3 linked regions of the Saccharomyces cerevisiae S288C genome follow. The gene in region 2 interacts genetically with the main gene of each other region. Each region holds a gene or a part of one and is shown on either strand. Other genes may lie near its edges.

Region 1 (6,985 bases), on a different chromosome or scaffold from region 2:
GCTTCATCGCGTACAAATCCTTTGTGTGTATATTCATACATTCTTTCACGACGCTAAAATTCCCATCGCCCAAGGAGTTGTGGTTGGTTACGTATTTACATTTGAAGGTTTGAGCGTCTGCATTGCTGCCACTCAGTTGCGGCCAAGGTTTTTCTTCCGGCAGGCGCTGTTGTAGCTGGGAAGCAGAAGAACTAGCTGTAGTCATATCCTGGATGTGTATTTTTCTTTTTGAACTGTTGTAATGTCAATTGTATGAAAATATCGCGGTTTGGCTGAGACAGTCGTGGTAGGTAACTGAAGGAGCAAACAAGAAATTAATAAATAAACAAGTTAGCAAAACAAATAAAAAAACTGTCACTCTAAATAGAAAGAAGTAAAGAAGCAGAAGAAGTCATCCCCGTTCGACACGTTTTCATATTCTGAGTACATGATAAACCCCGCCCTCTTTTTCTTTTTTTAGGAATCCCCCTTTCTATTGTCAGAACAAGAAAGCGGTGTTGGAATTCAAGCAGCTTTTTTTTTTTCTTTTCGTCATACAGTTTCTTTTTCAGGAGTCTTGGTAGCACCCCACCCGTGGAATCGGCGGAATAACCTAACACGTGGAGGTTTTTCCGAGGTGCCAAAAAAGGAAAAACAAAGAGAAGCTGAAATCGGAATTTGAAGAATAGCGTGGGGGGGAGGGGGTTATTCAAGGAGCGCCTGTACCGGCAACGATAGCTTCGGCGGCTAAGATGGCAAACCTAATAGATGTATGTAAAAACATGGATGATAGCAGGCGGTGAACAGCCATGGTAATTTTAGGGAGTGCAAAAGTTATATGTAAGGCTATATCTGTATCAGTTAACAGGGGTGGAAAATGATTTGATAGGCGCAATATGTTTATTGGTAAAAGAGCATCTTAAACCACTTCATTCCATTTCTCACTATCACAAGTGATATATTATGTGTATTTTGCAATCCATGACGCTTTAATGCTTTACAAAGCGCTGCTACTTCTATTTTCTTAACGTAAAGAGGAGTGTATGACGACTAAGAATTGTTTACCCGGCGAGAGTCGATTCTTCGTTACCCGAATTGAAAATTTTTTATTTGCTTTTTCTTTTTTTTTTTTTTTTTTTTTTCAATATTAGCTTTAGCGATGAGATGAGATTTTATAGTGTATACACGGTACTTGAGTACATAGCTATTGGATAACTGTATACTATAATAATTAGATAAGCTGAGCAATATTAACAGGAGAAGTATGGCTACCCCGTCAAATAAACGTTCTAGAGATTCTGAATCTACAGAAGAACCTGTAGTAGATGAAAAGAGCACTTCAAAACAAAACAATGCCGCACCTGAGGGAGAACAAACTACTTGTGTGGAAAAGTTCGAAGAACTAAAGTTATCACAGCCAACTTTAAAGGCCATTGAAAAGATGGGATTTACCACTATGACTTCTGTTCAGGCAAGGACTATCCCACCTCTTTTGGCCGGTAGGGATGTTCTTGGTGCTGCCAAGACAGGTTCTGGTAAAACTCTAGCGTTTCTCATCCCTGCTATTGAACTATTGCATTCTTTGAAATTCAAACCAAGAAATGGTACCGGTATAATTGTCATTACGCCTACAAGAGAGTTGGCTTTACAGATTTTTGGAGTGGCAAGAGAGTTAATGGAATTCCATTCACAGACATTTGGTATTGTCATTGGTGGTGCAAATAGAAGACAGGAAGCCGAAAAATTGATGAAAGGTGTTAACATGTTGATTGCTACCCCTGGAAGATTATTGGATCACTTACAAAATACAAAAGGATTTGTATTCAAGAACTTGAAGGCTTTGATTATCGATGAAGCGGACAGAATCTTAGAAATTGGGTTTGAAGATGAAATGAGGCAGATAATTAAGATCTTGCCAAACGAAGATAGGCAATCCATGTTATTTTCAGCTACACAAACGACCAAAGTTGAGGATTTGGCTAGAATCTCGCTGAGACCGGGCCCTCTTTTCATTAATGTCGTTCCTGAAACCGACAACTCCACCGCAGATGGATTAGAACAAGGCTATGTGGTATGTGACAGTGATAAGAGATTTTTGTTGTTATTTTCTTTCTTGAAAAGAAATCAAAAAAAGAAAATTATTGTATTTTTATCATCTTGTAACTCTGTGAAATATTACGCTGAATTATTGAACTATATTGATTTGCCAGTCCTCGAATTACACGGTAAGCAAAAACAACAAAAGAGAACAAATACATTTTTCGAATTCTGTAATGCGGAAAGAGGTATCTTGATTTGTACAGATGTCGCAGCTAGAGGGCTAGATATCCCTGCTGTGGACTGGATCATTCAATTCGACCCTCCTGATGATCCAAGAGATTATATTCATAGAGTCGGAAGAACCGCAAGAGGCACTAAAGGTAAGGGTAAATCTTTAATGTTTTTAACACCTAATGAATTAGGGTTTTTAAGATATCTAAAGGCTTCCAAGGTCCCATTAAATGAGTACGAATTCCCGGAAAACAAAATTGCAAACGTTCAATCACAATTAGAAAAATTAATTAAATCCAACTATTATCTACATCAAACAGCCAAGGATGGTTATAGATCTTATTTACAAGCGTACGCTTCCCACTCTTTGAAAACTGTCTATCAAATCGATAAGCTGGATTTAGCCAAAGTAGCAAAGTCTTACGGTTTTCCAGTCCCTCCAAAGGTTAACATTACAATTGGTGCCAGTGGAAAAACGCCAAATACCAAAAGACGTAAAACTCATAAGTAATTTCAGAGGATCAATTTTTAATGCTATTAATGTGTACGTGGAACCAACACAACCGAAGTATTCATCTTCTGTTCTCATCGCACTCCTTTTCCTTTCTCTGCTTCTCCACTGTATGTCATTTAAATAAATGTATAAACCGCTGTTTTCTGTTTGTTGTCTTCTACGTACGTTGTCTGTATCAACCTGCACATATTTGAGTATGTAAAATCATGATTTGTAAACTATTGTAAAAAAACTTCATTGATATGAAAATCTGTCGTCTGCTCAATATTTTGTCTTCACTGTTCCCTTTATGCATCCCATGACGCCATTGAAAAGCAAAACTTCGTTGCCAACGGTAAGGCTTCCTATATCTATATCTCCCTCTTCAATAAGGCCGAGCCGCAATAAATAATGACGCATTGTTCCGCACAAACATCCAGTTGCTAATCTTGGTGTCACATACTTTTTAGAACCGTTAGGATCTTTTTGAATTACAGCCACGTTTGTTATTGAACCTTCCATCAGCAGGCCAGATTTGTTGGAAAATAAAATTTCGCATTGCGAGACAGAAGAAGTAGGTTCTGAACCTCTTAAGTTATTTATAGCAGTTTGCATGCGAACTCTCGCCCTAGCGTAATGATCTCTTGAAGTGGTTTTAAAACTGGTGAAAGCTGATGCGTTCAATGGTTCAGATGAAACAACAACATCCCAATTTATTGTGCTATCAATTAAAAATCCATTGAGCATCGTTTTGATGAAGTATGTGGAAACACTGTCATAATCGGTTGTTAATTTTAGGATAGGCTCCATAGGCATTGGAATTGCCTCAATTCGTATATCTCCTGTCTTAGAGACAAGTACCCGCATTTTATAGCATTGCCTTTCGTTGATCATTTTTTGAATTTTTTCGTGATACTCTGAATTTCCTTCTTTACAATTAATCAAGTTTTCAACCAATAACTTCAATAAATCATTCAGAGACGTGCTGAAGTCAATTTTAAAGTATGATAATGCTATTCTTATTCTTTGGTATTGTTCATCTAATAAAAAAAATCGTTCATAAATGACTTGTAGCATATCTTCTACACGCTGGCACACAATGGTCTTGCAATCATGCTTCCAAGCATCAGGATGCTGAATATTTTCGAGAAGGTCACCGCCGGAATTAACCTCCCTTACTCGTAAATAACTTGAGTAATCCTCATTAATTATCTGCTGCCTAATATCTTCGTCTCTCAAACCTAATCGAGGGTCTGGAGTTTCAAAGATCTCTTTCTTTGACGCTGACTGGCGTGCAAAACCAGGGTCGTACCTGAAAGTGGCCAGAACCTCGAAGTTCGGATTAGCAACTAGGCCTCCTTCATCGTAACTTTCCATATCAGTCTTCCAATTGTCCATTAGTGACATCTATTTCTTATTATCCATGTCTCGCTCTTCATCTTTCTTTTACTCACTTTCACAAAATTTTTTCCTGCCCTTTTTTTTCCAATAGCAGGTTCTGTTTATATTTCATCATAATCTATGAAGGCATCGTGACGTGATGATATAGGTGTGTCAAGTAAAATATTCTTACAAGTTGTGGTTATTTATATGCTCTATATATATTCACAGAACTAAATCCAGTTCTTCTATATATTCTTCATTGTTGTCTGGTGTAACGGGGTAAAAAGGTACCATGGCGTCCTGGTACATTACGTACATGTTATTATACACCCTCCAAAATGCTTTCCTTACATTCTTCGCTGGATGGAACAATCCTGCCCATATGTAGTTCATGAATAGTCCAGGGCCAAGAGCTTGACTCAGTGCCTCCAAACCTTCTAAAATACGCATAATAGCATGTGGTGAAGTTTCAAAAATATTGGGTATTAGAAGATTCATTAAATGAATGAAGGCATCTTCGTGACCTGTACCTGAACAGTTTAAAGCTAAGTGGGTTATTACGTTCGACGCTGTCTGACGATGAACTAAATCCCTATCGGTGAGTGCATCTTCTAATAATGGTGTTATGAAGTATATGTAATCCTTAGACATGTTACCAATGTACTCAAACATGAATGACATGGCCTTGAGAACACCGTTTTGAACATTAGTCTCTGGTGTTGTGTATTCATTCATGATTACTGGCAGCACGTTGTAAGGACCACACACTTTAGCAACGATACCGATAGCAACAGCCGTGCATACACGTAACTGACGTTCTTGAACCTTTAAATTGTTCAATAACGCAACAAGAACATCGTGAGGTCCAATTGCTTCAGCAATGAATCCAAACGTGGCATTTGCTGATCTTCTTATTTCTTTATTTGTACTTTTCAAAAGTTCTAATAGTTCAAAACATATTCTCATCCATTCTTTAGGAGGTGCATAGGTAGGTGCTAATTTACCAATAAGTCCAACAAATTTGATAGTGTTTACTTCGACTTTTCTATGCTTGTTTCTTAAAATTGGAGTTAAGGTTGGTAAAATTTGATTAATAGGAGGTTGTAGTTTATCCAAATCCATTACGCTAGTAATACAGTACATAGCGTTGATTATAGAACCTAATACCTCTGGATATACTTCGCCTAAGGATTCATACAATATAATGTTCAATTTATTCAACATTTCGAATTCGTGACAGTTCTTGATGACTGGTATTAGTATGGCACATAGATCTGCTGCATGTTGACGAACCAAGGGAGTTTTATGCTTTAAATGATTTAAAATCGTACTCACAATGGGTGCTAAAAACGGTTTCATACGGATGTCAAGTGACACCGTCACTGCCCCAAACCCTTTAAAGATTATAGAATCACTATTTGTTTGTTCTTGAAATGCTATCAAGAGCGCATCAATAAGCCTCGTTTCTAATCTCTCATCTAAATCTGCTGTCCCTAATAAGTTTACTGTTCTAGTAACAGCATGGACAGCCATTGTTCTGAACGGCTCAGCTTCATCTCTCAATGGTGTTAATAATTTATCAATGGTATAAGAACAACCTAATTTCTTTGCTAATGTAACAGTAGTATATGTAACAACTTTGTTTAATGGTCTATCCAATGCCACTCGTCTGACCCAAAATTTTTGAAAGAATTCTGGCGCGATTTCTTCTCTCAGAAATTTTGGCGTTATGGATTCTACAGCGCTACATTTTTGTAATACTAAAAGAATGGTCTTTTTCATTTCATCATCGGGAGAGTCGAATTCACGTCTAATTATTCTCATTGCTTCTGTGGTATAATAACCGGCATACTCTGGGTCCATCAATGGGATCATAGATCCAACAGCTTTTAAAAAAGAAGATAGCACTTTACCACGATGACTTCTTATACCCTTCCATAATGGCTCCAGTACAACGTTGAAAACTTCGATACCATATGGATAAGAATTTTCTGCTAGTGTTGATAAAGTATGTGCTGTAACAATTCGCACCGGAACGTGATCATCCATTAGGCAGTCTTTGATACAACTCATCAGCCCAGTAAGATGATTCAAGACACCTATTCCCAAAAGTATACCTATTTGCTGCACAATTTTTATGCCAGTATGCCTTGCTTTCCAAGACTTCCGTGAGTGGCATGCTGCATTGATGAAAGGAAGCAATTGATTAACACCAAGGGCTTTTGCCACCACAGCCGCCGCTCTTGAAGTTACATTTCTAACATACTCATCCTCATTCTCAATATCAGGTCTCATTACTGTTAGAATGGTTTTTAGGCCAGCGACTGTAGACAGATTGGTGATTATCTCCTGGCCTGTTGAACGAACCATTGGATCTTCATCTATTAGCAATGGGGCAGCTACTACAAGTATTTTGTGAACGTAAGGTTTTGTTAAATCTCCTAGCTGGTAAAGGACGCGATCTATGGTCTTGATCATTAGATGTCTTTCCTGGTCTTCCAAACTTCTGTCTAGTAATATGGGCAATAAGCGGTTAAATATCATTTCTGGACCAAATGTAACAGCTTTATCGGTTAAAATCCGCATAGAAGTCCTCCTACTCGCTGTATTGCCATTTTTTATTTTCAGAAGTAACATCGACAGGGTTCTTTCTTTCTTTTCATCCTTATTTAACTCATCTATGGGTTTTTTGGATATAACGTCGGCGAAATATTTATGGTCAGAAGGTTTAAAAAACATCAAATCATGGATTCCTTCTACATTAACCAAAGCACTATCAGAGTTTTCTTTGACCGCTGTTGAAGATTCATCAGGTGGCTCGTACCCTTTTACATCCCAACGAGATTTTCTTTTCCTTGG
Region 2 (9,539 bases):
AAGAACATTAGCGGAATCGTTATAATTTCATTCCTTACATCCGTTTAATTTCATTAATTCGATGCATCTTTCTTTGGCGAAGCCAGAAAATCTAGTTTCAGAAATCTCGGTTTCACCCGCAAAAAAGTTTAAATTTCACAGATCGCGCCACACCGATCACAAAACGGCTTCACCACAAGGGTGTGTGGCTGTGCGATAGACCTTTTTTTTCTTTTTCTGCTTTTTCGTCATCCCCACGTTGTGCCATTAATTTGTTAGTGGGCCCTTAAATGTCGAAATATTGCTAAAAATTGGCCCGAGTCATTGAAAGGCTTTAAGAATATACCGTACAAAGGAGTTTATGTAATCTTAATAAATTGCATATGACAATGCAGCACGTGGGAGACAAATAGTAATAATACTAATCTATCAATACTAGATGTCACAGCCACTTTGGATCCTTCTATTATGTAAATCATTAGATTAACTCAGTCAATAGCAGATTTTTTTTACAATGTCTACTGGGTGGACATCTCCAAACAATTCATGTCACTAAGCCCGGTTTTCGATATGAAGAAAATTATATATAAACCTGCTGAAGATGATCTTTACATTGAGGTTATTTTACATGAATTGTCATAGAATGAGTGACATAGATCAAAGGTGAGAATACTGGAGCGTATCTAATCGAATCAATATAAACAAAGATTAAGCAAAAATGGCTTTACATCAATTTGACTATATTTTTGCCATTGCCATGTTATTTGCATTTTTGGATGCCTTTAACATCGGGGCAAACGACGTGGCGAACTCATTCGCGTCGTCGATCTCTTCTAGATCTCTAAAATACTGGCAAGCCATGGTTTTGGCGGGTCTCTGTGAGTTCTTGGGTGCTGTCTTGGCAGGCGCAAGAGTTTCTGGTACTATCAAGAACAACATTATAGATTCCTCCATTTTTACCAACGACCCCGCTGTTTTAATGCTTACTATGACCAGTGCTTTGATTGGCTCGTCTTGTTGGTTAACATTTGCTACTGCAATCGGAATGCCAGTTTCTACTACACATTCCATTGTTGGTGGTACAATTGGCGCTGGGATTGCAGCCGGTGGAGCTAACGGTGTCGTTTGGGGTTGGAGTGGTGTTTCTCAAATTATTGCGTCATGGTTCATTGCTCCGATTTTGGCAGGCGCGATCGCAGCTATAGTTTTTTCAATTTCTAGGTTTTCTGTCCTTGAAGTTAAGTCTTTGGAAAGATCGATTAAGAATGCTTTACTGCTGGTTGGTGTTTTAGTATTCGCCACTTTCTCTATCTTAACAATGTTGATTGTCTGGAAGGGTTCTCCAAACCTACACTTGGACGATTTATCTGAAACTGAAACTGCCGTATCTATTGTTCTCACAGGTGCAATTGCTTCGATCGTTTACTTCATCTTTTTCTACCCATTCTACAGAAGAAAAGTTTTGGACCAAGATTGGACACTAAAGTTGATTGATATTTTCAGAGGTCCATCTTTTTACTTTAAGTCCACTGATGATATCCCACCAATGCCAGAAGGCCATCAATTAACAATCGATTATTACGAGGGCAGAAGAAATCTTGGAACAACTGTTTCTGTTGAAGACGAAGAAAATAAGGCAGCGAGTAATTCTAATGATTCCGTCAAAAACAAAGAAGACATCCAGGAAGTGGACCTGGTTAGAACTGAAACTGAACCAGAAACAAAGTTGTCAACGAAACAATATTGGTGGTCATTATTAAAGCAAGGACCTAAAAAATGGCCCTTATTGTTCTGGTTAGTAATCTCTCATGGTTGGACTCAAGACGTCATTCATGCTCAAGTTAATGATAGAGATATGTTATCTGGTGACCTGAAAGGAATGTACGAAAGATCTAAATTTTACGACAATAGAGTAGAATATATCTATTCGGTTCTCCAAGCCATTACTGCAGCCACTATGTCTTTTGCTCATGGAGCTAATGACGTTGCCAACGCTACTGGTCCTTTGTCTGCTGTGTATGTGATCTGGAAAACTAACACTATTGGGGCAAAGTCCGAAGTTCCCGTGTGGGTTCTGGCTTATGGTGGTGTTGCCTTAGTTATTGGTTGCTGGACTTATGGTTACAATATTATCAAAAATCTAGGTAATAAGATGATTTTGCAGTCGCCATCAAGAGGCTTTTCAATTGAACTAGCTGTTGCTATTACTACTGTCATGGCTACCCAATTAGGTATTCCTACCTCAACAACCCAGATCGCCGTTGGTGGTATTGTCGCTGTTGGTTTATGTAACAAGGATCTCAAATCAGTTAATTGGAGAATGGTAGCCTGGTGTTATTCTGGTTGGTTTTTAACTTTACCAATTGCTGGTTTGATTGCCGGTATCATAAATGGTATCATTTTGAATGCTCCTCGCTTTGGTGTGGAATACCAAATGACATAATCATAATGTGTTTCGGTTATGAATACAGTTTTACAACATTAGGTAGAACTTTTATTGCTCAGTGACTTTAAAGTTAAAACATTTCTAATTTAAAACCTTAAAGATGCATTAATTTTTTTCTAATTTATCAGTTGATCTGCAATTACCTGGCATGGCTATGTGTATTTTTTTTTTTTATGAATTCCATCATATTAAATAGAAAACTAAACTAAATAATAAATAGAGTATTACAGAGTCGTCAAAAAAAAAAAAGAAAAGAAAAAAGAAAATCTACAATCAAATAGCAGCAGTACCTGGACTAAATCTTTGCATAACGCAGAAGTATAGCTACAAAAATTACAGGGAGGATACTAACTAGTTCCCCTAAACCCGCATACTCTGGTGGAATATGAAAGTCAACAAAGGCACCAGCCGCCAAAAGGATAGCAAATAAGTTGTAAGTAAAACTCCATAAGAAATTCAATTTGACCCTAAACATGGCCTTTTGACTTACAGTTATCATAGTCAAAATATTGTTGAGCTTTGGCTTTAACATAACTACATCAGCAGCTAGCTTGGCAACCTCACTTCCCTCATTGATATGAACTCCAATCGTTGCTTGAGTCAAACCAATTGCGTCGTTTGTTCCGTCACCGCAAAAAACAACAACCGGTCTTTTTGACTGCGAAGAACTATCGCAATTTCTTCCTTCGACAATATCCTTAATATATTCACTCTTTTCTGCAGGCGTTGCGTGAGAACGAATATTGGAGCTTTCAATTCCAAGACGGGCTGCCATAGAACGAACGGCTCCATCGTCATCCCCTGATAAAATGTGTAGTGAAATCCCTCTTTGGCGTAACAAGTTAATAGTGGAGACAGCATCTGCCCGTAAAGAGTCCTCTAATGCATAAACTGCAGTGACTGAACCATTAACACTAAAACAGAATACAGAATATCCTTGTTCAAGGGCTTTTCGAACGTCAGGATCATTGTTATGACCAAGCCAACGACAGTTCCCTCCTTGTAACTTCAAACCAGAGTATGATGTTCCTTCTACCCGCTTACCAGTCACAGCTTTTGTATTAGAAACATTTTGAGCAGAAACACCTTTTTCTTTGAGATAGGATGCTATTGCCATGGAAACTGGGTGTTTTATTCCTTCAGTTAATCCAAGCAACAAAGATTGAGAATTATGACGATCACCCCTAACAGTTTCATGTACTACAGTAAGTTTTCCTTCAGTTAGGGTACCCGTTTTATCGAAGACAACATGCGAAGTGTTGTGAGCAACTTCTATACTCTCTGCTGATTTGAAGATTACCCCTCTTTTCGCAGCGACGCCACTTGCAATAACAAATACGATAGGAACGGCAAGTCCAATCACGCAGGGACACGAAACGATAAGTACCGTAATGGCATATATAATGGCCTGAATTACGGCATCGGAGCGGGATTGCTTTTCCACACGGATTCCAACCGCTATCCAAACGCAAAAGGTGACGACAGTGATTCCAATGATAGTTGGCACGAAATAACTTGCAATTTTATCAGCGATATTTTGGATCTTTGGCTTAGTTAATTTTGCTTCATCAACCATCGTGGCTATGGTACTAATAGTATTGTTCCCTGGAAGCTTGCTCAGCTTCACAAACAAAGTACCAGTGCCATTCACCGATCCTGCAACAACAATTGATTGACACTTTTTCGGGACTGGCATAGATTCACCTGTGATTAACGCTTCGTCGACTTCAGAAGACCCAGAAATGACTGTTCCATCAGTTGGGATTCTTGAATCAGGTAAAACCTTAAAAATATCGCCATATTGGAGAAGTCTAATATTAATTTCCGTCTCTTTACCAGTTTTATCCACCAGAATAGCAGAAGAGGCCTGTAAGGAACGTACTGATATTGACTTTACAGCCCTATGTCTAGCTAGTTCACTCACAAAGCGACCAACCATGATGAGAGTTACAAGCAAAGAGCTGGTTTCAAAAAACTGCTCCGTAGATAACGGGCGTCCAACAACGAAATATCCAAATGATACAATCGAAAATATGTAGGCAGCGCTAGTGCTTAAAACTATTAGTAGATCCATTTCAATGAGCCTGGAAAATATCAAACTCTTCAAGGCATTTAAGTAAAACGGTCCTGCAATAACAAATTGAATAATAGTTGCTAGCACCATTGACGCGGAGATAGTGGAAATTTTTTCACGAAGCTGTGGAGCCCAAGCCATCACGAGAATCGGGATCGTCAATATTATGGATAAAGCGGTCGTGCAGCCTACACGAACTAAATGCTTCCTTCCCACTTCAATGGTTGGATGACAACTGAATGGAGCAATACTAACAGGCACGCTCCATCCTTCATTGACAAGATCTCTGGCACCTATAACCTTTGGGTCAAAGTAAATACGAATGATATTTCTCTCAACAATTTTCAGCTCTGTGACACCTTGTGGCCATTCCTCATTAATAAAATCTTTTGCTGCATAAGGAACAACAACATCTATAGTTGAACCATGATTTGAAATCTGTTCGTACTTGAATTCAGTAGTTTTGCTCAAGTGCTTGATAACATCCTTGACAGATCCCTGAGCAAGATCCAGATTAAATTCAGCTTGCGATAATATTAAACTGGTCTTCAAACCGTGAACACATTTGAGCGCGCCAAATGATTTCTTAAGTTTTGATTCACAACCAGTACAGGACATTCCTGAAACACTAAGAACAATGTGCTCGGTACCGGTAGATCCTGCCTCAAGATTAAGATGATTTTCAATTGGTTCCATTGATACGATTCTTGAAATTTCACTCGAAGAGTGTCCAGAAATAGTTGAGGTAACAGCACAATCCTTCATTTTAGTGCAACAACTTTTAGAACAAACAAAATCAGCATGGCCATTGTCATTGCTCAACCTTTCTTTGTCTCCATGGGTCTTTTTCTTTGTTAAACATCCAGAACTGTTGCGGTAGGAGTATTTTGTCTTTTTAGAAGCACCCTCCCCGCTACAAAAACGCACCTTTGGGAGACAACAAGATTCTTTTCCCAAAGTACGCAAATAGTTACAGATACAACCTAAATTTTTCAAAATTGAGGAGTAACGATTGTACATTCTAGAGTACTGTTCGCTGAAGAACTTCTCGCTTAAACTGTCGGTAGAGCTACTCCCAGAAATTCCAACATTGGTGCTACCTTTAAAAGTCCTCTTTTCACAGCTACGAGATGCAATCCGCTCAACACATGAAATGTTGCAGCACTCAGGCTTACTGGAAACCTCAATTTTCTGTCTGCTAACTTTACAACTTCTTTTCTTGAGTGTAGAGTCACTTGATTCGATGCAAAGCCTACCCTTCCCTGTGTGTTGGTTGGAATTGGTATTGCAGCGAGTTGTCTCTCTAATATCATGAATAGATTGCAGACCTTCAGATTTGCTTGGAACAACTTCAAAGCTGGTCAGCAATTGTTCTTTAGAAGATACAGCTTCGCAGCTGCCTGTAACTTCCTCGACCATCACTGAAGAATCTCTAACGCAGCATCCATCAACACAGGATTCATTGGTGTGGTCACCACCTGTTTGAGCATCGCCGCAACAGCTGTCCACATCCAAGCCAGTCTCAGTGTCGTTCACTTTCTCAGCACAACATTCATCTACACGGGATTCATTGGTGTGATCACCACCGGTTTCAGCATCGTCTACATCTAACCCAGCCTTAGTCCTATTCTCGCCATGATGGCATATCTGCTCAGTCTCACTCAAACATTCCTGAGGAGTAATTTTGGGCCGATTGGTACAGTCTCGCTGGGAGACCAATCCCAGATTGTCATTAGCATGCATTTCTATGGATCTACGATGACACTCGCCTCTATTATCTTGCATAGCATCTATTGATATGTTCTCGCTATTTACCACTCCATACTCGCCATCGCTGGTACCTAAACCGGAGAAGAGTTTTTCCGGCTTCATCGTTATCAGCAGCTTTGGGCTCTTTCATTGTATAAATCCTGGAAGCATCTCGAAAATATCTTGCTTTTATATTTATAATTGCACCTTATTTATGCCAAGTGTAGGCTTTTCATGCGATTTTAAAGAAAAATTCCTTGTTGGCGCCTAAATTTTGATTACCTAACCCATACATTCGTTCAACCTTATATTTTTAGAAAGGCCTGTTATCAGATCATTTTCCGAAAACTCTTCAGAACCAATTTCAAAAAGACAACTATTTGACACTTTGTTGGTTTTCTTCAAAACAGTGATGGATTCATCCGCTCGAGGAGCTAAAATGGGGAATGAATTCCTTCCAAATAGAAATAGTACTTACTTCATTGTATTGTTGGAAAATATAAATCGATATTAACAATAAGAAAATTATTCCATTATTGATTTATGAGATTAAAATCACACAGCCTACATACAACTCAATAACGTTATCTGCCTTGCAAAACTGCCTCTGTATATATATCGATGATCTTCAAAATATACTATTTTAAGAAGTGTTTTAATTGAAGGATTAAAGTACAGGGTAACTTTTTAAAATTCATTGTATTGCTAAAATAGTATTTTTCTTTTCAGATTCATAACAAAACATAATTTCTTCCACATTAGGAGAGACAAGCCGTCCAAACTCTTTCCGCCTAAAAACCATGAAATAAATTCAAAAAAAATTAGGAAAATGTTGCTCTATCTAGCATAAGCTTAATACTTAAATGCATTTTTATTTTTATTTTTGTATTTTCAAAGGACATTTGTAGAAAATAGGCTCAAGCTCAAGTTAACTTCTAGACCATGTCTTTTCAGCGCCTTAAACTACTGAAAACGGCCCTTTTCGTGTACTAATGCTTTCAGGAAATTATAAAATTTATTTTTACTTTCGCCATTCAACATACTCAAAATAATAAATATTCCAGCTATTTGATGGTAATCTACATTAATAACACAATTATCTTTTCATGTATAACTAAAAACAGGGGGGGTAATTAAAGTACTTACTATCTACTACACTAAACGTCCCATTTAGAAAAATCGGGTATATCGATATGAAAAAACGGTAAATTTGTCCCAGTTGCAGCACATAATGTTTCATAGTTACTGTAAGATGTGCTTATACGGCTGTCTTCATCAGTATAATCCACATCATCCTTCAAAACTTTTGCAACGTGAAAACTAGAATGGCCAGCGATAATAGAGTCGTCACTATATTCCTCATTTGTAGTTCCGAATTTAACACTCAAAAGACTTCTTTTGATCCATGGAGATATAATTCCGGCAAAATGGAATTCGACTTGTCTATCCGCATACCTATTCACAGCTTTTCTCAGATCAACCAGGCTTTGAACAGCGGTTGAATCCACTTGAGCAACTTGGGAAAAATCCAGGCAGACGACTTTCAGTAGCGGCTTTTCATATGTTTCTCCGTTACTGCTTCCATTCGATATCGGTAGGTCACTATTCGTTGTTGCTGAATGACGTTTAAATTTAAATAGTGATTTCAAAGAATCTGGCATTTTCCATTCACCAGGATCATTCCATGGACGGTCTGACTTTTTCCTTAAGGTTATAAGTTGGCCTCGCCTTGTTTCTTCCTTAATACGATCAAATATAATGTCATAATGCCTTGAGCAGTTCACGTAAGTAAAGCTATCACCCAAACGATAGACTATGACACCTGGTGGAGGAGGCCGAACTGTGGTATTGATATTCAATTCTCTTGAGTATCCATGATCGAACGGAACCCACTTTACGCTAAACTTATACTCTGGGGCTGGTAAAACCTCAACAGTAGACTTAACCTGTTTATTCAGTTCATTAGGTAATTCATTAGATGATATCACAGCATCAATATCCTCTTGTACTGTTGGGTTCAATACTTCTGCCACCTCAACACGACCAAGGAATTTACCAGCAGGGAAAGCCTGTTTCAATAGTAACATTGCACATGACCAACACATTGCAAAATATATACCATTTTCAATGGATGAAAATACTGTGATGAACACTGTAACGATAAATGAGATACAATCTAACGGGTTGGTCTTCCAGAAGGTCCAGGTGGTTTTGTAAGAAGTCAGCAAATCAGAAACAGCATGAATAATAACCGCCGATAGTGTCGCTTTAGGAATGAAAAAGAAGGCGTCAGTTAAACAATAAAGTGCTAATAGAACGCAACCGCCAGTGAATACCCCAGAAAACGGAGTGCGCACGTTACATTTTGCTTTCAAAGCAGATCTGGAAAATGACCCAGTTGCTGGATATGAGTGAAAAAATGTCCCTATCAAATTTGTCACACCAATCGCAATAAGTTCTTGGTCAGGGACAACCTTGTAGTCGTTAATTCTACCAAAGGATTTTGAAATAGCGATGTGTTCTAACACCAGAACGATAATTGAAGCAGGTATTTCTGAACTCATATTAGATAGCAGACCGTCTGGGATTTTCATAACTCCCACCTCATTTAAGCCCGAGGGAACTGTACCCAGAATACTGATTGGACGGTCTTTTGAAGATTTGTTTCTTGTTATGCTCCACGATATGGCAGTAAAAACTACTATGACGACGGCATTTCTCATAGCTTGTGCATAGAAATAGAAGGATTTCAGTCTATTTGCTACCTTTGGTTGATTTCGATAATATCTATCTGCCAAAGTTATACCAAATGTACCACACCACCATTTCCATACATAGAGGATTACCAACGGAATCAAGCCAAAAACGGCGTCTAACTTTGTGTTTGGTAAATGTTTCAGAGTGTTAATTACAACCTTATACGTTGCTTCTCTGGTATTCACTAATGAGTTGTATCCCATGAGAGCCGGAATTTGACCCCAGATGATGTTAAATGCGGAACCGGTCATGAAGCCAGCAACAGCATTTAGAGAAATAAGTTCCACTAAAAAGCCTAAACGCAGTATACCCAACCCAGTGGCGACAATCCCACAAAGCAAACAAAGGGTAGTTGCAATGATAGGAGCTGTAACTTCTGTCTGGTCTTCGGGATATTTTTTTAGAACTTCAGCAATGACTTTGGCAGTTTGTAGTGACATTACAGCGACCGGACCAATACAAACATCTTTCGATGTGGCAAACAAAGAATATATAAACGCACCAATAAAGGAGGAATACAAACCATATTCAGGA
Region 3 (7,854 bases), on a different chromosome or scaffold from region 2:
ATAAAAGAATAAATCCATATTTCGTCCCTAAAATCCTTACAAATATGGCAGCTGGTAATGTTTCCATCAAGTTTAACCTTAGAGGATTATCCCATAGTGTTTCCACAGCATGCGCAACAGGTAATAACTCCATTGGCGATGCATTCAATTTTATTCGGTTAGGCATGCAAGACATCTGTGTCGCCGGTGCAAGTGAAACGAGTTTGCATCCGTTAAGTTTAGCAGGTTTCATCAGAGCAAAGTCGATTACTACAAACGGGATCTCTAGACCCTTTGATACACAACGTTCTGGATTCGTACTTGGTGAAGGATGCGGAATGATTGTCATGGAATCGCTAGAACATGCTCAAAAGAGAAATGCAAACATAATTTCTGAGCTCGTGGGCTATGGTTTAAGCAGTGATGCCTGCCATATTACCTCCCCTCCTGCTGATGGAAATGGTGCCAAAAGAGCAATAGAGATGGCTCTAAAAATGGCTAGATTAGAACCAACTGATGTTGACTACGTCAATGCACATGCTACATCAACTTTACTAGGCGATAAAGCAGAGTGTCTGGCAGTAGCCTCAGCACTCTTACCAGGAAGATCCAAAAGCAAGCCACTGTACATATCCAGTAACAAAGGTGCAATTGGCCATCTTTTAGGTGCAGCTGGCGCCGTAGAAAGTATATTTACAATTTGTTCCTTGAAGGATGATAAGATGCCGCATACCTTAAACCTGGACAATGTTCTGACTCTAGAAAATAACGAGGCCGATAAGCTACATTTCATAAGAGACAAACCTATTGTGGGAGCTAATCCGAAGTACGCATTATGCAACAGCTTCGGATTTGGAGGAGTTAACACATCTCTTCTCTTCAAGAAATGGGAAGGGAGTTAATATTATTAAACTTATATATATATCCCATTATAATCGTTTTTGAATTATATGCTATCTATTCGAATGTCGAGATTTATCCATTAAAACCAATCATTTCAATGATTAGCAAAAATATTAATCAATTAACATTTAGTCATCGACCGAAATATTTGAGTTCTAAAGGTCTTACAATGTTATAGATGATGAACGCCCAACTTCCGCCTAACTCGAACCCAATGTCACCGCCGTACTCTCCGATCAAACGACTGATCTCACCAACCCAATAAGTTTGGCACATACCCAACGCTACTCCAAAGGCACCAGCAATTAAGGCAGCAGTACCTGCGATACCGATAGGTAGATGCTCCCAATTATCCCAATCATCAATATTGTAAGCACTGAAGGAACGCCTATAAATAAAATGCTCTGAACATGCAATGGCAATATAAATAGCCAAATAATAACCAATGGAATCCATAAAATTCTCCATAAAGCCGTCAAAGTAATAGGTAGCAGGGATGGAAATACCTAAAGTGGCAGCATTACCTGCCATTGTCCAGACTACTCTTGGTATTTTAGCCAAAGGTGCCCACAAAGCTTGAGCGGATAAAGCGACAGTGTACATTCCAGGGACATTATTAGCAACAGTTGAAAGAGCCAACAAAACACAGCAGAATTGACCGAATCCGTTTAGAGAGTTAGGGACCAGGATAGCATATATGACACCACCCATGGCGTTTTTATCATAATATGACTTCCAGGTTGGGTCATTAAGGGCCGCCATACCGCAAGCAGCACCAAGAATCATGGTGAAAAATAGAGGGAACGCTAGACCGGCTACTACGGAAAAAAAAATTTTGTATTTACTTGTGGTCTTTGGCATATAAACAGTGTAATCTGCTGCATAAGTCGCCCAACCCGCAGCTGACCCAAAAACAGATGAACCAAAAGAAAGAACACCACCTGCAGTAGTTGCACCCCCTACCCATTCACCACCTTTAAATTTTCCTGATCTCGATAGTTGGGCAATAATGACCAAAAAGGCAGCAAAATTGGGTACCCACGACCATTTTTCGTATGCATGAACGACACTGTAACCAAAAAAAGTCACAAGCACGGTACCACCAGCAATAATCAAACAACCTGCCCAAATAGGACAGTTGTGCCCAGAGCCTTCATTCACCATATTCAAAAGTTGAGCAGAAACAGAAATATTTAAAACACACCAACCGACACAAGCAATGACATTAACAAGAGAGAAAAATCTTGCTGTGATGTTACCAGCCAAATATCTCGATAGAATCATCTGTCTTAGGCCCAGTTCTACCCCAAAAAGTGAGAATAATGCAACAGGGATCAAACCCAAAATATTGAAAAAAATGATAACTAAAACACTTTGGCCGAAATTTAGGCCAAATACTAGAGGACCCAAGGCACCTACGGAATAGGCTACAATCACCATATTAGCTGAAAACCATATAGTGGCGGCATTGAGTATCGAGTCATCATTTTTTTCATCTTCTGTAACTGGTTCAATACCTTTCGTCTCAGCATTTAAAGCAGCTGCAATCCTATTGAAAAAGGACGGCTTATTATCAATGAATTCGTTGGTTCTATGCAATTCTACACCCTCATAGTATACATCAGCGGCGGAAGATTTTGTGTCCAGAGCTCCAGATTCGAGGTCCCTTAGTTCACTCCCCGCATCTTTTATATCGACCATTGACATGGCTAACTTTTCTGGCATACTTTTCTTCGATATTTTAGTCACCTTCTGAAACACCCTCCATTTCAATCTGACAAGCGTATCTTATAACAAACAATTTGGTTATCATGTTATATATTTGTCTGGTTTACAAATCACCAGTGCAAAAACAGACTACATTTATGTCATCTGCATGCATTAGGCTTTCAACAGACTAGAAATCAAAATTTATCAACTAAACAGAAATAATGCAACGTCTCATAAAGTATTTACTGGCGATCGGAGTAACTCTTAGAACCACAGTCACGTGATATGCTTATCAGAATTGCGTTATCAACTCAAATGAATGAGCCGTGATAATTTAATTAACATACATGCTATTTTTTAATGATTTGCATACTAGAGCCATTTATGTTACATTACAAAGACTAAAATAGCGAAACATTTAAATGAACTTTCGTTAACGACCAAAGTACTTGAGCTCAAAGGGTCTAGCAATGTTGTAAACTATAAATGCCCAACTTAGTCCTAACTCGAATCCAATATCACCACCGTAGTCTCCGATCAAACGGCTGATCTCGCCAACCCAATAAGTTTGGCACATACCCAACGCTACGCCAAAGGCACCAACAATTAAGGCAGCAGTACCTGCAATGCCGATAGGTAGACGTTCCCAACTATCCCAATCATCAACATTGTAAGCACTGAAGGAACGCCTATAAATAAAATGCTCTGAACATGCAATGGCAATATAAATAGCCAAATAATAACCTATGGAATCCATGAAGTAATTCATGAAGGTAGAAAAATAGTAGCAGGCAGGAATGGCAATACCCAGTGCGGCCGCATTGCCTAATAAAGTCCAAATAACTCTTGGGACTTTCGCAAGAGGTTCCCACGTGGCTTGCACCGATAAAGCAATAGTATACATGTTGGGAACATTATTAGCGATAGTGGACAGAGACAATAACACGCAACAGAACTGACCGAATCCGTGAACAGAATTAGGGACAAGAACGGCAAAAGTTAAACCACCTATGGAATTTTCGTCATAATACGTCTTCCAGGCTGGATCGCCGATAGCTGCCATTGCTACAGCTGCACCAAGTATCATAGTAAAATATAATGGTGTTGCTAACCCAACTACAAGCGAGAAAAAAATTTTATACTTGTTCGTTTTCCTTGGCATATAAACGGTATAGTCAGCCGCATATGTTGTCCAGCCTGCAGCAAACCCATAAACTGTTGATCCAAATGAAAGCACGTTACCTGCTGTAGTAGGACCAGATGTCCACTCCCCAAGGACAAATTTTTTAGACCTTGCCAAACGAGCAATTATTACCAAAAAAACGGCAAAATTTGGTACCCACGCCCATTTCTCGTAAGCATGAATGACTCCATAGCCGAAAAAAGTTACAATTACAGTAGCACCGATAATAACTATACAACCAGCCCAGAGAGGACATTGATGACCGGGGTTAACCATATTCAGGACTTGCGAGCTTGCTACGGTATTAACGATACCCCAACCGATACAGGCAATAAAATTGATGAAAGAGAAGATCCTGGCTGCGATATTGCCAACTAAATATCTAGACAAAATCATCTGTCTTAGGCCCAGCTCTGCACCGAAAACAGAAAAGAAAGCAACTGATACCAAGCCTAAGAGGTTAAAGAAAATAATAACGAAAACGCTTTGGCCGAAATTTAGATCAAACACCATAGGCCCTAGGGCGCCAATGGCATAAGCAGGCAGAACCATATTTGCTGAAAACCACATAGATGCAGCGTTCAGTATAGAATCATCAGTTTTTTCATCTTCTGTAATCGGTTCAATACCCTTTGTCTCGGCACTTAAACCAGCAGCAATTCTGTTCAAAAACGACAGTTTAGCTTCAACTAATTCTTCTGTTCCGTGCGATTCTACATCATCATAGAATTCATTTGTTGAAGGAGTCTTTGCATCGTGAGCTCGAGACTCAAGGTCTTTAAGTTCATATTTTAAGTATTGAGTGCCGTTCAGGGACATTTCGTGCGTTTGAGGCATATTTGTTAGCCCTTTTATAATATGGTAGGTTTTCCGAGCACACGCGCCTCAATGCTAATAATAGTGAAGTAACAAGCACTTTTAATGCTGTGTTTACGTTAGCACGGACTACAGAGTATCTGTTAAGAGGGACGTCTACGCCCTTATATATATACGTGTTACTTCTGACTAAAATTGCTTGGCAATACGATGAGTGAAAAAAAAAAGGCCTTATCGAATTTTTCTTTCCGTCACATAATGACGCCGGCACCTTTGCCCTTCTCGTATTCGTGATGAAAATAAGTTAGAATCGGTGAACGCAAAATGATAAGATTTCCAAAATGAAAACTCAGTTAGCAGTCAATTTTGACTGCTCCATATACAGTCTATCATGCGATAAGCTTGAATAAAATAATATGGTTTTTTTTTTTCTGTTCAATTTGATGAGGGATAAGCATTTTTTGTTGCTGTTGTATTTGAACGGGAATATAGCAACACCATAAAGTGCTGCTCAACATGTTTCTTATCTCTGAACAATAAAGTAGTCCAAACCGTAATTCAGAATATATCTTAATACCAAAGAATTACCTAAGAAAGTTACCATGCTTATTTCTTAGCAACCGTACGTTAACACATAAGATAATTACTACCTTTGAGAGAAACTGTGTATGTAAATATATCTACTTGCATATTACGCATTTCTACATGCCCGTAACTAGTGCTTGCGATTGAGCTTTTGCGTTGTTCCAAAACCTGTATAGTAAGTCCGCGTATCTCTGCAATTCATTGACTGATATCAAAAGTTCAAAATCACACAAAACTAGAAACTGCAGTTCCAAATGGTTGAGTTCTTGTAAAGATATCCCACCTACCCTTGAGTATCTTGAATTGCTATAGAAGAAATCGCTCAGAAACTTCGTACTGACAGTAATACCTGCTATGATTAATCTGTGAATATTATGTGAATCCATTACGAACATTTGAGGATGAGCCCTTGAATCCCTTTGAACTCCTGTATTTTCATCATCTGAATCGTCATTTTCATTATTTTCGTTACTGTTACATGCGGACATTTTGTCAGCGCCCCTGTTAGCTTTATCTAGAGAGCTTTCATTTGAGGGAGATTCATGTTTTGCAGTATTAGTTTTAGGGGTCGTAGTGACACTATTGCATCTCTTGGATATTCTATCAAAGTACACGAGGAGCGATAAAAATACATCATTCGTTGTGGGGCAATATTTCTGGATCCTCTGGAAATATTGGTCAAGACCAATTTGTGGTACGTGCTTCCCTCTAAACCCCAGAACGGGGCTTAAGTATTTCTTTTCATTGTCACTTAAAGCAAGACACCTACCATTCTCAATCTCTTGTGTCAAACTAGGATTTGTCGCTGCCGTCCTATCATTTGACTTAATAATTTTAGTTAGTAACGCTGTCAGCATTTTAAGAAGCTTGTCTGTGGGAAACTCTGCAATGTTCAAAGACGGGGTTACTTGTGAGTTGCTTGTGTCACCGTCGAGTATTTTGTCTTCCTGGGTGGATGATTGAACTGTATGTGTGCCTTGCACTTTCTCATTTAAATTATTTGTGTCGCTCAATTGCCTTTCGTTATTCTTTGGGAATCGTACTGGATAATATTTGTTAATTGTGTTCATATTTGAGCCATGTACCCTGTTATTCATTTCGACCCTAGCTTGGTTAGAAGCATCCTCATAGTTAAAAGATGATTCTGGTCTAATTCCCATTGATGAAGTAGATGATTGTGATTCTAAAGTCTCTTCAGAAGCTACCCTCGTCACTACCACAATATCGCGTCTATTATTACTGTCCTGTTGTGAATTATCTGTACGTATATCGACGTTACCACTGCCAAGGTTTGCTTTATCATCCGATTGTATTGAATATGTAGACTTCGGACTACTACTGGCATTTGTTGATGAGGGGGAATCACCTTTGATAGACATACCGGCGCTATTTGCTACAATTAACTTAACTAATAACTGGTTCAATACTTTGCAAAAAAAAAAAACAGTTCTATGATGAGGGATGACTACGTAATATATTAACTGGAATTCCGCGCGTTATGATTTAGAAAATCTTTCACTAGTTTAGCTCACTTACGGTTGGTGCTATTGCAATTACCAATACTGTTTTTTAAGGTTCTATCAAGGTTAGCCTTGTTATCTCTTAGGTAAATTACGTTCATTCAGATTTTTTCCGCAAGGGCGGAAGAAAAAGAGCCACATCAAGGCGAGATCTTACCTTAGAGATCGTCGAGAGATTGATTGAATGGAATTTCAAAATAGAGGTAAAATCCCCAAAGGGGCAAGCAGGCACATTAAGGTCTTGATTATAGTTATTGATTAACATTGATATTATTCGAGTTTTAGATTATTCCTTCAATTTGAAGGCTTCTTGAAAATAATTACACGATTCTTACATATATACAAACAAGAGTAGTCTATAATAGAGAGGTAAACTACTGCCGACAGGTGTTTATTTCTTAGATTCTTTAACCACCTCTCCATCTTTGGTCACAACTTCTCCACTAAGCGGTTGCATGGTCTCATACTTCTTTCGCAACTCTTTTTGTTCCTCGTGTTCACTCATATTGAAGTACCTTTTCCTTTCTTTTGTGGGATCTAATGATGCAACTCCGTTTGTCTTTCTCAACCTCTTTTCTTCGACTCGTTTAGCATCTTTTATCGGACCCTGATGCAAAGTTTCCCTTTCCATTTCTTGCACATAATGCACGCCCACTACCGTCGCTGCCGTTATCAGACAGGAAGCTGCAAACGTTATCTTGCTAGCCCTACTCATCTCAGCCGAAATTGACGTCTCCTACCGTGTGTACCGTCGTTGAATGTCAAATGTGTCCGTTTACTACGACTACCTGAATGCTAAACATTAATACAAATCAAATACTGAAAATTTAGGGGTAACCCCGAAAAGAGCCTTTAGTAAAGTTCGATGGATACGATCGGAAGATCACTTAGAAGATTATGGGCGGATTGATGGTACGAAGAGTACACTAATCTCTCATTGACATATGCCAACAGCCGTCTAGTAATTACTACTCTTGGAAACAGCGGGATCATATAGCAATATATATATTTATATATATTCAAGGCACATATATAGTCCAAACATGACTCACGAGTGGAGTCAAGCGCCAAAACTAGTGGTTTCAACCGATACTGAGCACACAATAATCATTCTTCTTATTTCACCATTTTAACCATTCTAATCCGGTAATCAATAGT

The links. A genetic interaction does not mean that the proteins touch.
Region 1: mutations in PCA1 (region 2) and ABZ2 together harm fitness more than expected from each alone (negative genetic interaction), as found in Saccharomyces cerevisiae (one large-scale study listed by BioGRID).
Region 3: mutations in PCA1 (region 2) and FCY21 together harm fitness more than expected from each alone (negative genetic interaction), as found in Saccharomyces cerevisiae (one large-scale study listed by BioGRID).

What each region holds. Positions count from the first base shown.
Region 1 is NC_001145.3:845,850-852,834, reverse strand, and holds ABZ2 (aminodeoxychorismate lyase ABZ2), read right to left. Parts: upstream 4,151-6,985; coding exon 3,026-4,150; downstream 1-3,025. Other genes in the region: protein kinase TDA1, read right to left, coding at 1-205; ATP-dependent RNA helicase HAS1, read left to right, coding at 1,244-2,761; U2 snRNP complex subunit HSH155, read right to left, coding at 4,349-6,985. UniProt on the Saccharomyces cerevisiae protein: Converts 4-amino-4-deoxychorismate into 4-aminobenzoate (PABA) and pyruvate.
Region 2 is NC_001134.8:789,681-799,219, reverse strand, and holds PCA1 (cation-transporting P-type ATPase PCA1), read right to left. Parts: upstream 6,372-9,539; coding exon 2,721-6,371; downstream 1-2,720. Other genes in the region: PHO89 (Pho89p), read left to right, coding at 698-2,422; SUL1 (sulfate permease), read right to left, coding at 7,406-9,539.
Region 3 is NC_001137.3:271,325-279,178, reverse strand, and holds FCY21 (purine-cytosine permease), read right to left. Parts: upstream 4,613-7,854; coding exon 3,026-4,612; downstream 1-3,025. Other genes in the region: fatty acid synthase CEM1, read left to right, coding at 1-881; FCY22 (purine-cytosine permease), read right to left, coding at 1,015-2,607; PCL6 (Pcl6p), read right to left, coding at 5,293-6,555; PET117 (Pet117p), read right to left, coding at 7,088-7,411. UniProt on the Saccharomyces cerevisiae protein: Probable purine-cytosine permease.